Linked DNA regions of Drosophila melanogaster. The protein of the gene in region 1 purifies or fractionates together with the protein of each later gene. This does not show direct contact. Each region holds a gene or a part of one and is shown in the gene's direction. Other genes may lie near its edges.

What was found.
Region 2: the proteins of robo3 (region 1) and Ptp69D purify together in Drosophila melanogaster (affinity purification with western blotting, with the first as the bait; one study listed by BioGRID). This does not show direct contact.

What each region holds. Positions count from the first base shown.
Region 1 is NT_033779.5:1,253,943-1,260,369, forward strand, and holds the start of robo3 (roundabout 3), read left to right. Parts: upstream 1-2,474; 5' UTR 2,475-2,948; coding exon 2,949-3,003; intron 3,004-6,427.
Region 2 is NT_037436.4:12,732,619-12,741,992, forward strand, and holds Ptp69D (protein tyrosine phosphatase 69D), read left to right. Parts: upstream 1-2,326; 5' UTR 2,327-2,534; coding exon 2,535-2,631; intron 2,632-3,439; coding exon 3,440-3,542; intron 3,543-3,634; coding exon 3,635-5,478; intron 5,479-5,537; coding exon 5,538-5,783; intron 5,784-5,841; coding exon 5,842-6,085; intron 6,086-6,153; coding exon 6,154-7,048; intron 7,049-7,107; coding exon 7,108-7,254; intron 7,255-7,310; coding exon 7,311-7,421; intron 7,422-7,490; coding exon 7,491-7,670; intron 7,671-7,734; coding exon 7,735-8,042; intron 8,043-8,103; coding exon 8,104-8,239; intron 8,240-8,301; coding exon 8,302-8,379; 3' UTR 8,380-8,950; downstream 8,951-9,374. Other genes in the region: small ribonucleoprotein particle protein SmD1, read right to left, coding at 1,005-1,365, 1,885-1,898; CG32112 (uncharacterized protein), read left to right, coding at 9,243-9,331. UniProt on the Drosophila melanogaster protein: Possible cell adhesion receptor.

The sequences.
Region 1 (6,427 bases):
TGGAACTGGGCTACCGCTTCTCGAGCAGCAGCATCACAACAGCTGCCACCCACAACCGTCATAATTACCCCGCCCCCTTCGCTGGACCAGAACACCCTCCACCATTTCCCCCACCCAGCTGACAAACACACTCGAGCTCCTTGGCACTCAAGAAACTGAAAACGGGGAGCTGGCGCTGGAGAAGTCCTGGCGGGGGTCCTTCGTATCTCTGACCACATGAGCACATAAATCTTCGGGCACGGTGGCAGTGGCGCCCCCTGACGGACGGACCCAGCTTGACGCCCAAAACCACGCTGCCAAGGAATGCGAAAAGTGCCTTCAACTTTTTATGAAATATGGGTTGACAGACGGCTCATCTGTCATCTAATAAATGCATTTAAAATTAAACAAATGCGCGCATAAGTGCTGCAATCAGTTAGACATTATGATAGATTGGTAAATTTATAAATAATTATTTAATTTATACATGATTTGGTAAAGGAACTCATAATTTGTATTTATATTTGTATATGTTATGTCCTTTATAGTTGCTTTTGACCCACTGTGCACAAGCCCCATCATTATGGGCGTGTAATTATCACGATGATCACTTTTCAACATAACCAAAGCGAGGAAACTTTTATATTAAAAGTAAACTTATGACAAACGAGCAAAAGAAGGCCAGCTGGAGGAAAAGTGGAGTCCTGGACAGTGGAGTCCTGCCACACACGCGTCACATCTGCAAGAGTGTGAGTGGATGTGTGGGGGTGTAAGGATGTGTGGGTGTCCATTGTCAAGTGTAATTTATCATTCAGTCAACGTTCTTCGATTGCAGTTTATCTTCGGAACTTACTTTACTGGGTCGCCAGTGTAATTTCCCACTCCCCCCGCATCTTTCCATTCTGTCTGTTCTCCGGTTCTCCCTTTTCCCACGAGTAAAAGCAGAGGAAAGTGTACTAGGGGAGCAGCAAGGATATTCCCTCGGAGTTGTTATTGTCCTGGCCGTAGAATGAATGGCAAATCAGGAAAATCTGACCCCCAGGTTGTTAGTTTTCTTGCAAGGATTTTTAAAGCCAATGGGAGCAAAATAGCAATTAACATGGATTTTGAAGCATCCACCTCGACCTCAGCCATCCATCCCTCGCCCTCCCTCCCCCTGCTTTTCCATTGAGTTCCTCCTGGTAATAATCGGAAATAATTGAAGAAAGAGAAAAACAGCGGGGAACGGCAAAAAGAGAATACTTACCGGACTGAAAAGCCGGGTAGCGGGGAATGGGTCACATCCTTTGAAGGATGTTTGTGTGTGCAATTTGTAGCGTTTTAATTGTTGTTTATGCGATCTAGAATGGGGGCGAAAGGAATGATGTGGTGGGGACTCCTAGGGCGCGGGGACCCAAATGCATCACCACCGCAAGCCACTGAGCTAATTTTGATTGCGGTGCCTGCAAACGACAGGAATCAGCAGGTGAAAGACGATGTCGGCTCCCGAGATCCTAATTAACTATGCCACTGATGTTTGGTTCGATTCAGCAGATTGCCCTCAAATGCGGGTTAGCAGCAAGTTGAAGTGCCTAATGCCCCGGGGGAAAACAAAGAACTCGAAGTCATGTGAATAAAGTCAGGGGATTGATGAATATGTAGAAGGATATGAAAGCTATCAAATTAAAGTAATACTTGAAATGATTAATTATTTTGATATTAGCAAAACAATAGGTTTCAATCATGACATTGATATCTGTAATCAGCATCTATTAGGAGTGTCATTACTGTGCAACTGGAATATATCTTATCTGCATCGGCATTTAACGGCTATTTCGAAATATTCAAACTTACTCGCTGCTTTTCTGGTTCTCATTCAGTGAATATATTTTACCATTCTCTCACAATGTTGTAAGCATTCAGAGAGCGAAGGAATTCCGGTTGAAACTCCGAAAATGTTGTTTATTCGGCCAGTGCGCAGACTCACCACTTTTGCCGGCAGGATTCAGCAACAAATGTTTATGCTCGCAACTGTGATGATAAACAAACCTGACTGAGACCAGAAACTACAATGTTGAGAAGCCATTTCAATATTATTTATTTGTTTTTGGAAATTTTAAAAACCCTATTGATATAAGATAAACACCAAACTACCATTAGAAGGCTGCCATTTTGTTATAAAATTTACTAGTATGATTGTACTTTACGGAAACACATAGCATTACAAACATTACAGAAAGCCTCTTATATGATGATACCTCCTTATCATACGGAATTCGATTACTTTTCGTTTTCCCGAGCTTTCCCCGCTGAAACAGCTGATTTGCCTGCAGGAATTTACTCCGAAATGTTGCTCTTCCGACTTCCCCAGTTCCCCGAGTTCCGAACTGGCCGAGCTGCTCCGAAGGCCGGAACTCACCACCCAGCGAACATTGCTGTGGACTGTTCCCGGTCTCCGGATCTGAAGGAACCCCATATCGAGTTGGCCGTGGGACGCCGTTCAGTTGAGTTTTGGTTACTGCCGCCAACGGTTATCGAGCTGAAAGTGAGCGCGTGTCGAGCTTTTTTGGTGCCCAGTTGTTTGGGCCAGCTTCGTGGGCGACTGGATTGGCAGCAAACATAAACAAACGAAGTGCGAAATTGCTCGGAAATCAGCTAATTGACACAACGGACATGCGAGGGCCAGACTTTGGCCAAATTTGGCCTGGCCAAAAAGGAAGCGGAAGTACTGCGGCCGCAAAATACATTGTAAACTGCTAAACTGCAGGGGAAGTGTAGCGAATAGTGTGCGAATGGAAGTCGAGTAAAAATCAAGCAACTCGAATAGATATATATATCTTTATATCCCTGCGGGAGTCGCTCCCCTGTGTCTGTGTGCCGGTGTGTATTTGTGTGTGTGTGTGCCAGGAGTTGGGCTGGGCAAATAAGTGCTCGTGCTCAGCTTTTTTAGCCAGTTTATCTTAAGGCGAAATACTGTAAAAAATTGTAAAATGGATTTACGTTTCGTATTCATCGTTTTCCTGCTCAAGTGGACCCATGCACAAGGTAAGCTCGAATAAAAATACACAACTGGTGCAAAAACCTATCCTGGTCATGGACTTCCTTCCTTCCGTCCATCAATCCATCCTATCCTCTCCTGCGTTTGCCTGGCATTCTCTGTTTGTGCAGCTGCCACAAGCTCTGGGTTCTGGGCTCCGAGTGGGTGGATATGGATGTGGATGAAAGGCGGAGACGGGTGCAATTCAAGTGCAATTCAGCCGGCCTGCAATTGCAAATATGCCATAGAAAATTGCTCAACAGAGACAGAAGTGCCAGCTCGTGAATGCACGACATTTGTATAGCTCTGCGATCCCGTAATGAGTTGCATTTAACTCATCCGACTCACTTGGCCGAGATGTTTTGGGAGCCGGGCATATTTATGATGATTGCCGACAGGTGTTGAATGGCTCGTCCAAAGGCTTGCCAGAATGTTGGTTGTCAGGCTTGGATTCACCTGAATGCTGGTTTATTGATACGTAGACTTGACTGGGAATCTGCATTCCGGAGACAGACTTGTCCCAGAAAGATACATAAATACTCGGCATTAGTAAATGGATAAAGTCCGTGCTGATAGCTGAAGAAGCCACCAAAGCAATTTACTAAGACTTAAAACTTTGAATCAAAATGAGCTAAGAATAGACTGAAATATAATTCGGTTATTATTGATAAATCAAATGTTGAATAACTAAGCTTGGTAACATTTCACACATAATATTCCAAGTAGTAGAGTTATTGTGGCAACACAATTTCCATTAAATCTACACTCTGAATTAATTCCCTTGCTCATCCTGCCTAATCGCTACCAAACTTTAGTTGCCAGATTAGCATATTTCCTGATTTGCATTTATTGGCCTAAACTGGCAGATAACTTAAGGCATTTCCCGAATCGTTCCATCCGCTCAAACATGCTTATGCGTAATGCATTGATTACTTCCTCCCGAAAACTTTTGCCAACTATAATTTATAACTCTTGCTTATCTCACCAATAAGTTGTAGCCATCAAATGGGAATTCGTATGAGCAAAACTTTTGTGCCAGACGCAAAACAATTTCCGCTGCTTTCAGCCCAACAAATTAGTGGAAAATGTTCTGCCAAGAAACGAGAAACAAGCCGGGGATTCCCCTCGGGCTGGCTAACTAAGCGAAATGAGTATGAATTCGAGTCGTGGCTCTGAATACAAGTGAGTACTCAGGGGCATGGCTCAAGCGGCATGTTTTTGTTGCATAAAATATGCGCATTTAACAAGGGGCTTCCCACACTTTGCCCCAAAAAGCAAACATATAAATGTGGGCCCACAAAAAAGCATTTCTGCCCGGCCACAAATGATACAAAAGATTATTCATATTTTTCGGAGGTAGCACATATACGAGTATGTATGTATGTACATATGTACATATGTGTGTGTGCGGCCATGTTGCCGCTGTTCAATTTGCGTTTTTTACGCTTGGATCTCCTTTTTTGGTTAAGGGCATTTTTATTATGTAGTTCATGCATGTAAACGAATTCAATTGAATAATATCCTGTCATTTTGTTGTTACATCCTCTTCGGGCTTTCCATTATCCCCCCCCCCCCCCGAAATTCTTTTCCCGGCTGCTCCCCTCGTTTGGCATGTCAAAATTTTTATCAGCGCACAAAATCCGCCAATGCAGGATGAAGGATATGGTGGAGTAAATAAATAAATCCCGACAACACGCGTGTCCTTGTATCGCCGTCCTGCTCGCGCAGATCCTCTCGCCCGCTCCCACGCTACTCTCGAAAGTATGCAATAAATTTCGAACAAAAAATATATTGGCATTTTAGTGGGTTGGCTGCCTTCTGCTCGTGTGCGGTGTATCCAATAAAAGAAAATTAAATACTTTCAGCGAAAGATTCTTCTTTTGGGTAAATTAATCGTACCTCTGTATTCTGTCGGAGTTTCAGATTTTTTCGCGTACCCAAATATGGATTACAATTCACTAAGTGCCTTTAATTCGAGCTTTATTTATAAATATAAATACAATATTTTCCCATATCTGTTACAGCTTTTGGCCCAATTCGAATGCCAGTTTCGCAAAACGGCTCCCAGTCGTGTGCCATAATTTTCGTTTCCCAACTTTGCCCAAGTTTGCTTAATTTATAAATTATGCATTATGTAGACTGCGTTACCAGGCAATTATCATTTTCCCGGGAAATTGCTGGGTCGCTTGTTTTGCTCCTGGTCTCTCGCCCAAGAAAGTAGGCTACGCAAAATTAATTTCTGCTGTATGTTTTTGCCTGTGTGCTTGGCTCGGCTCGGCTCGGCTCTTCATGTGCGTGTGCTTATTTATTTGGCTGGGATTCGAGAAAGGACTCGGATCGGTTGTCTTGTATTTGGCCCTCGTGCCTGGCGGCTACCGAAAGCAAAGGGCAAAAACACAGGGCCATCCGCACGGCGAAGTAGGAAAAAGTTTGGCAGACCGGAATATTAATGAGTATTTAACCTAAATTGTTGCTGCCTTTGATAAGTGCCACGGAATATTCCCCATGTAGCAACGAATCTATTCTTGCCCCTTAGCCAGCGGCATCAATGGCAGACGAGAGAATTGGCCGTCTCTCTGCGGAATGTGTGGGCTTCCCTCGTAACTGAGGCATTAAATTACTTTAAAAGAAGGGGAAAAAAAGGGTTAAATTATTTTAGATGCTAGAACGAACCCCATCGGCTGCCTTTAAGACTTTCCGCCCAAAAACTCGAAGGACCTGCTCGAATTTTGCTCTTTTCCGACTTCGGGGTCGGTGCCATGAGAATAGGTATTATTTGGCCAGACTCGAGTTAATTGAAAGGACGAAGGTATTTATTCCTTCAGGGAGAAGGACCCGGTCGGCAAGTAATAAAGTAATATGGAATTAATCTGGAGTCCATTAAATATAGAAATATTTGAGAAATTGAAAGCCAGTCGGGTAGAGATACAGTATTTACTTGGCAGTTTATCAAGCACAGTGGCAATTGACTAGGAAAAATTTCTACATATCTATGGAAAATTCAATAAGAGAGGTTCACAGTTTTATTGAGTATATCAATATGTTGAAATAACTAACATTAGTTGAAACTACAAGCGAATTAGATAAATGAAACAACAAAGCTGTGCAAAAATATTTGGCTTAGTATAAAACCCATTAGCTAGTCGAATATTTATTTTAGCCAACTCCTACTGCTGTTTTTACACACACAATTTCCATGCAAAGCAATTACCAGTTTCCAGTTGTATTCACAACGTCCTGGCAAATTGTAATTTATCTTAGCCTTGGGCCAAAGGACAATTCAGGCAGATAGTCCTGTGGCAAACACACAAACACAGCCGCACATGAGCATGCGAGGGAAAATTTTAATTAATTTCAGCATCAATTGAACGGCTGTCATAATACAAATAGAGCAGAGATGCGCACAAAAACACACAGGACACTTGTTTATTT
Region 2 (9,374 bases), on another chromosome or scaffold:
AACACTGCAGAGATCCAATAACCGTCAAGTGTATATATATATGTATATATATGGTGCACGATTATTAAACAAACAAACTTAGTATGCAAAGCAAAGCAACAACAGCTGCAGCCAAAATCACATTCTCAATTAAACCATAAACGAACAAATATATACAAATTCCCGGCTCTGACCAGACTTCAAAGGAAAGCAATAGAGCTGTGAAGCTTGAGCAATTGTGAACTTGAGTTAAAAATATAAAATAAAAAATTGTGTTATCAAAAGACATTCCTAATTTAAATTTTAAGATTTAAAATTGGCGCCTTACTTTTAGCGGGTATCCGAACCCGAATAGCGATAATTGATCGGAGCAAGTTCCACAATTTGACATTTCGATATATTATCGGAACCGGTTCAACCTGCCTTTGAAAACTTAAACAAATCACTTATATTTTTTTGTCCTTAATAATGGGTTTTAAAGTGAGGGTTACTCCATTATCCCTATATCTATTGTTTCTTTTGATATGTTTTCCAATCCGTTACTTAAAGTAGAATCTCTTAAGTTAACCAGTTTTAAGGCGATGCCCATTTCATGGGTTTAACATTGTCGTTTGTTTCATTGTTCACCACGCATCCTAATGGCAGTAGTAAATATATTTGAATCTATAGCCTAGCTTAAGTAACACAGTTTTCTCCTACTATTGTTGAACATTTGAAAGACATTTTGTGCGTCCAAAAACAATTAAAAGTATAAAAAAGCGTTTTTACAAACTTTCAAACATTTTTAATCATAATTTAATGGCGGGAGTCTTCTTTCAATTTGTTGCCAAGTAAACACATTTTTCCTGAGCTACTACACAGAGTGATTTTTAACAATATACATATTCAGATGGAGTTTCTTTACTAGCTGAAGACATTTGTCAGTTGTTCGTACATAGTAAATGCATACAGTGTGGATTTATCCAAAGAATATTTATATTCTATATTTATCGAATATTGTTTATTAGATGTAGCTGTTACAAAGATTAACGTCGGCCTGAAGCTCGGCCCCTTCCGCGACCCCGTGGACCACCTCGTCCGCGGGCGCCTCTGCCCCTGCCGCGATTTCCCACGCGGCCGCTGTCCTTCTTTTTTGTCTTCGACTTCGGGGTGTCGTCGATGAGGAGCGTCTCCAGCGGCAGGCTGTCCGGCAGTATAAAGTATCTGATGTTGTTGCCGCGAATGCTCAGCGTCTCCAGGTGGACGGGATCCCGGTTCTTGATCGTCATCCGAACGCTCTTCAGGTGAGTGTTCATGGCCACATCCACGCCGGTAATGGTGCCGTGGATCTGGGTGCCGTTCTTCAGTTCGATGGTCACGGTCTCGTGACTTAGCTTCATAAGGAATCTGTAATGCATCAACGGGAAGATTAGTAAACGAAATTAAGGAAATCCCTGTTGCAAAGATGCAGCATTTCAGAGATGCAAGGCTATTATAGGTAGAAACAAATATCTTATTGGGTGATTGAAAAATGAGATACAATAAGGTGTATGCAAGCAGCCTTTATGATGAAATATACTTAGTAGAGCCTTTACTTTTAGCAAATTAGTACGAATTTAAAGGTAGCTTGTATTTGGTGGCCTTGGATTAAGAGCGTTGATTGCATTGAATATAGTTATGCAAAATGCTACTTAAAGTGCAAGAATTGTTACCAGATACAAGTAAATAATGGAAAACTATTATAATAACAGATCAAAACAACATTCGTATTAAATTAAATTTTGTGTACAAAAACAACAAATGGGAGCATCGCTTTTGCATGCATACATGTGTGCAGAATCGCAGAACTCAAAAACTGAATGAAACTATACTGCACGCATTGCTAACAAGTTTAGTTTTAGTTTAGGTAAATGACGCATAACATACCTTACTAATTTCATGTTTTTATGTGTTTTTGGTGGTTTTCTGCAAAAAAAAACGCGCACAAACAATGCCGGCTAGTTTACTTGGAATTTGGTGGTTGCGGTGAACTGTTGTATCGTGTGCTAAGATAGCAACGCTCATTGGTATTGTAAAATATATCGGCTACCAAACGGAATCGTAATAAAAGTGAATATGAAGTAATAAATGAATTAATGCATTCCAGAAATAAATTATAAATTTGCAACAATTAAGTAACAATTAATGTCATACTGCTCTATAAATAAATACTTGTGTCTTATTAATTACTCATGTTAATAAATACGATTACGATTATATTATTATAATATACGATTATATTCCAATTCAGTTGTTCCAAATCCCTTGGTAACCGCAGCCAAGGGTACATATTCGACTGACTTATCGATAACGCCGCATATCGCGAAAAAAAAACAATCCAGTGTTAAGAAAATAACGATTAATACTTATTCGCGGTCGCCGTCTATTAACTGGTTTTTAATAAAACACATTTGTCGGTGTTTTGCACTCGCCGCGACATTAGTTCAACGCAGTAGAGCTTTTTAACTCAACGCAGACATCGAATATAATTTTTGACATATGTATTTATCCGGCTCGGAGTGAGAAATTAGCAAGCCATGGCGTTACTCTACCGACGCATGTCGATGCTATTAAATATAATTCTTGCATATATTTTCCTTTGTGCGATATGTGTGCAAGGATCTGTGAAACAAGGTAATGTTTCAAAAACTCAGACGAACATCATAATTGGTACATACATACGTACATCAAGAACCGTTTGTGGGTGTCAACAAATTGCAATGTCTCATTTTTTTTTTGTGTTGTTTTTGCAAATGTGAATGGAGTGTTTTACATTAAGTTGGAAACTGGAATTATCATTTGATATGGTGGTTAACAAGACGGTTGTATAGTTCTTAGATACAGTAGCACTCGAACTATGTCGGTAACGCCCAAAGATTACGGCGATGGGGTGAGATTTCAATTGGGGCTAAACAAAAGTAGTCGCGCATACATATGTACACACTTCCCGGTACATACATACGTTTTATGTTTCTGCGTACATACTTATGTACATCTATCTGATTTATCTGAAATATAATCACATATATATATATTTGTAATATTTCTTCAGCTAAATACGTGTTGATTCCGAAATTACGCCGGATTACTACCGCGAGTTTTATGGCCAATATTGTGGGTGTAGTTTCATTTTTATGTCTGGCTTTTACCGCCCATCCAGAAAAACCTTTCTTGGTGTCCATCATAAAACTTAAAATTTAATAGGAAAGTTAAATAAGAAATTTTCCTTCAATATAGTTCTAATTTGAATATTTTACTAAATCGCATAAAACCCGGAAGCTATAATCAGATTTAAATATACACAACCATTAATCAGGAAGATATATTTTAAGTCTAACATATTTTTAGGCTGACAGAAGCATGTTGCTACTAGATCGGTGTAATTTCTATAATTACGTCTATATACAAAACTGATAATTATTTTAATGAAATTTATTTACAGAGTGGGCAGAAATAGGTAAAAACGTATCTCTAGAGTGCGCATCTGAAAACGAAGCAGTAGCATGGAAGCTGGGCAACCAAACTATTAATAAAAACCATACAAGGTTAGTAACTTATTGCACAAGCATCTAAAAATATTTCTGCCCCCATAAAGATGGAATAACATAATAATCTGATCATTTTTCGATCTTTTCAGATATAAAATAAGAACTGAGCCATTGAAATCCAACGACGATGGCAGTGAAAACAACGATAGTCAAGACTTCATCAAGTATAAGAATGTCCTGGCGCTTCTCGATGTCAATATAAAGGACTCGGGGAACTACACATGCACAGCCCAAACGGGGCAAAACCATTCGACTGAATTCCAAGTTAGGCCATACCTTCCATCCAAAGTCCTGCAAAGTACCCCCGATAGGATTAAGAGAAAAATCAAGCAGGATGTCATGTTGTACTGTTTGATCGAGATGTACCCACAAAATGAGACAACTAATAGAAACCTCAAGTGGCTTAAGGACGGCAGCCAGTTTGAATTCCTGGACACCTTCTCGTCCATTTCGAAGCTAAACGATACGCACTTAAACTTCACCCTGGAATTCACAGAAGTTTACAAGAAAGAGAATGGCACCTACAAGTGCACCGTCTTCGATGACACCGGACTCGAAATTACCTCCAAAGAGATTACCCTTTTCGTAATGGAAGTGCCACAAGTTAGCATTGATTTCGCCAAGGCAGTTGGTGCTAATAAAATATACCTAAATTGGACCGTTAACGACGGCAACGATCCAATTCAGAAGTTCTTCATCACTCTGCAGGAGGCTGGAACACCGACTTTTACTTATCATAAGGACTTTATTAACGGCAGCCATACATCGTATATTCTGGACCATTTCAAGCCGAACACAACCTATTTTTTAAGAATCGTGGGAAAGAACTCGATTGGCAATGGCCAACCCACCCAGTATCCCCAGGGAATCACCACGCTTAGTTATGATCCCATATTTATACCAAAAGTCGAGACCACCGGCAGCACGGCGTCCACGATAACGATTGGCTGGAATCCACCGCCGCCAGATCTCATTGATTATATACAATACTACGAACTGATTGTCTCCGAATCGGGCGAGGTGCCCAAAGTGATCGAAGAGGCCATTTACCAGCAGAATTCTCGAAACTTGCCATACATGTTTGATAAGCTTAAGACCGCCACAGACTACGAATTTAGGGTAAGGGCATGTAGTGATCTAACCAAGACTTGTGGACCATGGTCCGAAAACGTGAACGGCACAACGATGGACGGCGTGGCAACAAAACCCACCAACTTGAGCATACAGTGTCATCATGACAACGTCACGAGAGGCAACTCCATCGCCATTAACTGGGACGTTCCCAAGACGCCAAACGGCAAGGTTGTGTCATATTTAATTCACTTGCTGGGCAATCCCATGAGCACAGTGGATAGAGAGATGTGGGGACCAAAGATTCGAAGAATCGATGAACCCCATCACAAGACCCTCTACGAAAGTGTTAGCCCGAACACAAACTACACGGTGACGGTGTCTGCCATAACGCGGCACAAGAAGAACGGCGAACCGGCCACCGGAAGTTGTCTAATGCCCGTCTCCACGCCGGATGCCATTGGCCGTACCATGTGGTCAAAGGTGAACCTGGACTCCAAGTACGTTCTCAAGTTGTATCTACCGAAGATCAGCGAACGCAATGGGCCCATATGCTGCTATAGATTGTATCTAGTTAGAATTAACAATGACAACAAGGAATTGCCGGACCCGGAGAAGCTAAACATCGCCACATATCAGGAGGTTCACAGCGATAACGTGACTAGAAGTAGTGCATATATAGCGGAAATGATAAGTAGCAAGTACTTTAGGCCGGAAATATTCTTGGGCGATGAAAAGAGATTTAGTGAGAACAACGATATAATCCGCGACAACGACGAAATTTGTCGGAAATGCTTGGAGGGTACTCCATTTCTGAGGAAACCCGAGATCATTCACATACCCCCACAAGGTTCACTATCAAGTAATTAATATAAACTTTATTTATTTTTTTTTATTTGAAACTAATGTGCTTTTCTTTAGATTCCGATTCTGAACTGCCCATTTTGTCGGAGAAGGACAACTTGATCAAAGGAGCAAACTTAACAGAGCATGCTCTGAAAATCTTAGAAAGTAAGTTAAGGGATAAAAGAAACGCGGTGACCAGCGATGAGAATCCAATTCTAAGCGCCGTCAACCCAAATGTGCCACTCCACGATTCTAGTCGAGATGTCTTCGATGGTGAGATAGATATTAACTCCAACTACACCGGATTCCTAGAGATAATAGGTGCGTAATGATTGATTTTTTGAAAGCAAAATGGTAATATCATGTTTATTTTCCTCAGTTCGGGATCGAAACAATGCCCTGATGGCTTATAGCAAATACTTTGATATAATTACTCCGGCGACTGAAGCTGAACCCATCCAATCCTTGAACAATATGGACTACTACCTAAGCATTGGGGTCAAGGCTGGAGCCGTATTACTTGGTGTCATACTTGTATTTATTGTGCTGTGGGTTTTCCATCACAAGAAAACCAAGAATGAACTGCAGGGCGAAGACACTTTAACACTAAGAGATTCTTTGAGGTAACTAGTAATTGTTTGATCTTCTTGATGTGATTTCAATTAATATTCAATTGTTTCTTCACATCAAGCAGGGCATTGTTCGGTCGACGAAATCACAACCACAGTCATTTTATAACTTCCGGAAATCACAAAGGATTCGACGCTGGCCCCATTCACAGATTAGATTTAGAAAACGCCTACAAGAACCGACATAAGGACACTGACTACGGATTTCTGCGGGAATATGAGATGCTGCCAAATCGCTTTAGCGATCGGACAACTAAAAACAGTGATTTAAAGGAGAACGCCTGCAAGAACAGGTATCCCGATATAAAGGCTTACGATCAGACGCGCGTAAAGTTGGCTGTCATCAATGGCCTGCAAACTACGGACTACATCAATGCTAACTTCGTAATTGGCTACAAGGAGAGAAAGAAGTTTATCTGTGCACAGGGTCCAATGGAAAGTACCATCGATGATTTTTGGCGAATGATTTGGGAACAACATCTAGAAATAATTGTGATGCTTACAAATTTGGAGGAATATAACAAGGCCAAGTGCGCGAAATATTGGCCAGAAAAAGTATTTGATACGAAACAGTTCGGAGATATTTTAGTGAAATTTGCACAAGAACGTAAGACTGGTGATTATATTGAACGTACCCTGAACGTTTCCAAGAACAAAGCCAATGTCGGCGAGGAGGAGGACCGTAGACAAATCACCCAATACCACTACCTAACGTGGAAGGACTTCATGGCACCAGAGCATCCACATGGCATCATCAAATTCATACGTCAAATCAATTCCGTCTACTCCCTGCAAAGGGGTCCAATTTTAGTGCATTGCAGTGCTGGTGTGGGTAGAACCGGAACCCTGGTGGCTTTAGATTCCCTAATCCAACAGCTGGAGGAAGAAGACTCGGTGTCCATTTACAACACAGTGTGTGATCTACGACACCAACGAAATTTTTTAGTCCAATCTCTGGTGCGTAGATATGGAAATTCCACTCGTAGTTGCTGTAATAACTTTCTTTTTGCTTGCAGAAACAATACATCTTTCTTTACCGGGCTTTATTAGATACTGGAACCTTTGGAAACACGGATATTTGCATTGATACAATGGCTTCTGCAATTGAATCTCTTAAGCGGAAACCCAACGAGGGTAAATGCAAATTGGAAGTGGAATTCGAGGTTTGTATAGTTTGTTATCTACTTGCAGGCGTTTTGCTTATTACTATTTATTTCAGAAACTACTGGCCACAGCAGATGAGATAAGTAAATCATGTAGTGTGGGCGAAAACGAGGAGAACAATATGAAGAACAGAAGTCAAGAGATTATACCCTACGATCGCAACAGAGTAAGTAATAGTGGCTAACTTTTATGCGAACTGTGTTTAATGTTTGTGAATGTTTTTGTGCAATTAAAGGTTATACTAACACCACTTCCGATGCGGGAAAACTCAACTTACATTAACGCATCATTCATAGAGGGCTATGATAATAGCGAAACCTTCATCATTGCCCAGGATCCACTTGAAAACACTATAGGAGACTTCTGGCGAATGATCTCGGAACAGAGTGTTACCACCCTCGTCATGATATCCGAAGTGAGTAGTGCCCTCTCTACTTTATTGGTTTCCCATTCAACTGAGTGCTTTAATTGCATTGCAGATCGGAGATGGTCCCAGGAAATGCCCGCGATACTGGGCAGATGATGAGGTTCAATACGATCACATACTCGTGAAATACGTGCACAGCGAAAGTTGTCCATACTATACTCGCCGCGAATTTTATGTTACGAATTGCAAAATAGACGATACGCTGAAAGTCACACAATTTCAATACAATGGTTGGCCCACCGTGGACGGAGAAGTTCCTGAAGTCTGCCGTGGCATTATAGAACTTGTAGATCAAGCATACAACCATTATAAGAACAACAAGAATTCTGGTTGTCGATCTCCACTCACAGTTCATTGCAGGTATGCGGCGATGCTTTGATTCATGCACTTGACGGATTAATCAATTATAAATTATTTGCAGCCTGGGAACCGATCGAAGTTCCATTTTCGTCGCCATGTGTATTTTGGTCCAGCATCTGAGGCTGGAGAAGTGTGTCGACATCTGTGCCACAACAAGGAAATTACGATCTCAGCGAACGGGACTTATCAACTCATACGTAAGTGAATTTGTTTATATTTTATTGTCAATGCATTAATTAGATGTTTATATGGTTTCTAGGCACAATACGAGTTCCTACATCGCGCAATAATTAATTATTCAGACTTACATCACATAGCCGAGTCAACATTGGATTAAGTTAGATATGTATATACTTATACGAGTACAGAATGCACGTGTTGGAACATCAATGCATCAAATGTGCTATGATAAATTATTTGTATATTTATAAAATCTTTTAATAAAGTATTTACAAGAGCAAGCGTAATTTTTTTAACGAATTACGTTTGCCCGACACATAATATACATACAAATATAAATGTAGTGTATACGTATCGTATTGATAAAACTACCAAAGGAAAATAAGTAACATATTTTATAAGATACAATGTAATAAAAACTGAGAATAAGAATTGTACTTTTTATGAGCTTGATAAGTGTGGTTTACATTCTTTTTGGTTGTGTGGATTAATGGTTTTCGAATTTTCTTATAATAGTTTTGAATATTTCACTTATCAGTTTGTAAAAATGACTTCATTATGAACGTATTTAATATTACACTTTTCATTTTGTAAATATGGGACAAAAAATCCATAAAATTAAGTAAATGTATTTATCGTTTTTCCGTATTCCTTTATGTGTATTGATAAATTATAAGTACTACAATTTATTTTTAATAAAATAAAAATAAGCAGATTTGAATTGTTTCACATACCATTGTTTCAAATCGATAAGTCGATAAATATGATATACCAACCTGACATAGAAACCAAAACCGATTTCGTATTTTATTATTTTTTTTATACTAGTTTTCAGATTAGTAGACATTGCAAAAATTAATAATCCGAAATTTTTGTCAGTTTTTAAAATTGGAAGTCTTATCACCATGGAAGTTTCTACGCAGTTATCGATAGTGCAATAAACGTTTTACCATCCCTACCGTACGTATTGTTTATTATTATTTTGGCAAAACAAGAAGCCCCATTTGCCATTTTCCGAAGATGCCGAGTAAACTAGATAGCATATATCGCCGCATGCTGATAACGAGGTTCTTCGAAAAGGGATGGGGCAAGCCGGAAAACCTGCGCAAGTGAGTTTTTCATTGAAAACGGAGAATGGCGAAAAATAAGTGC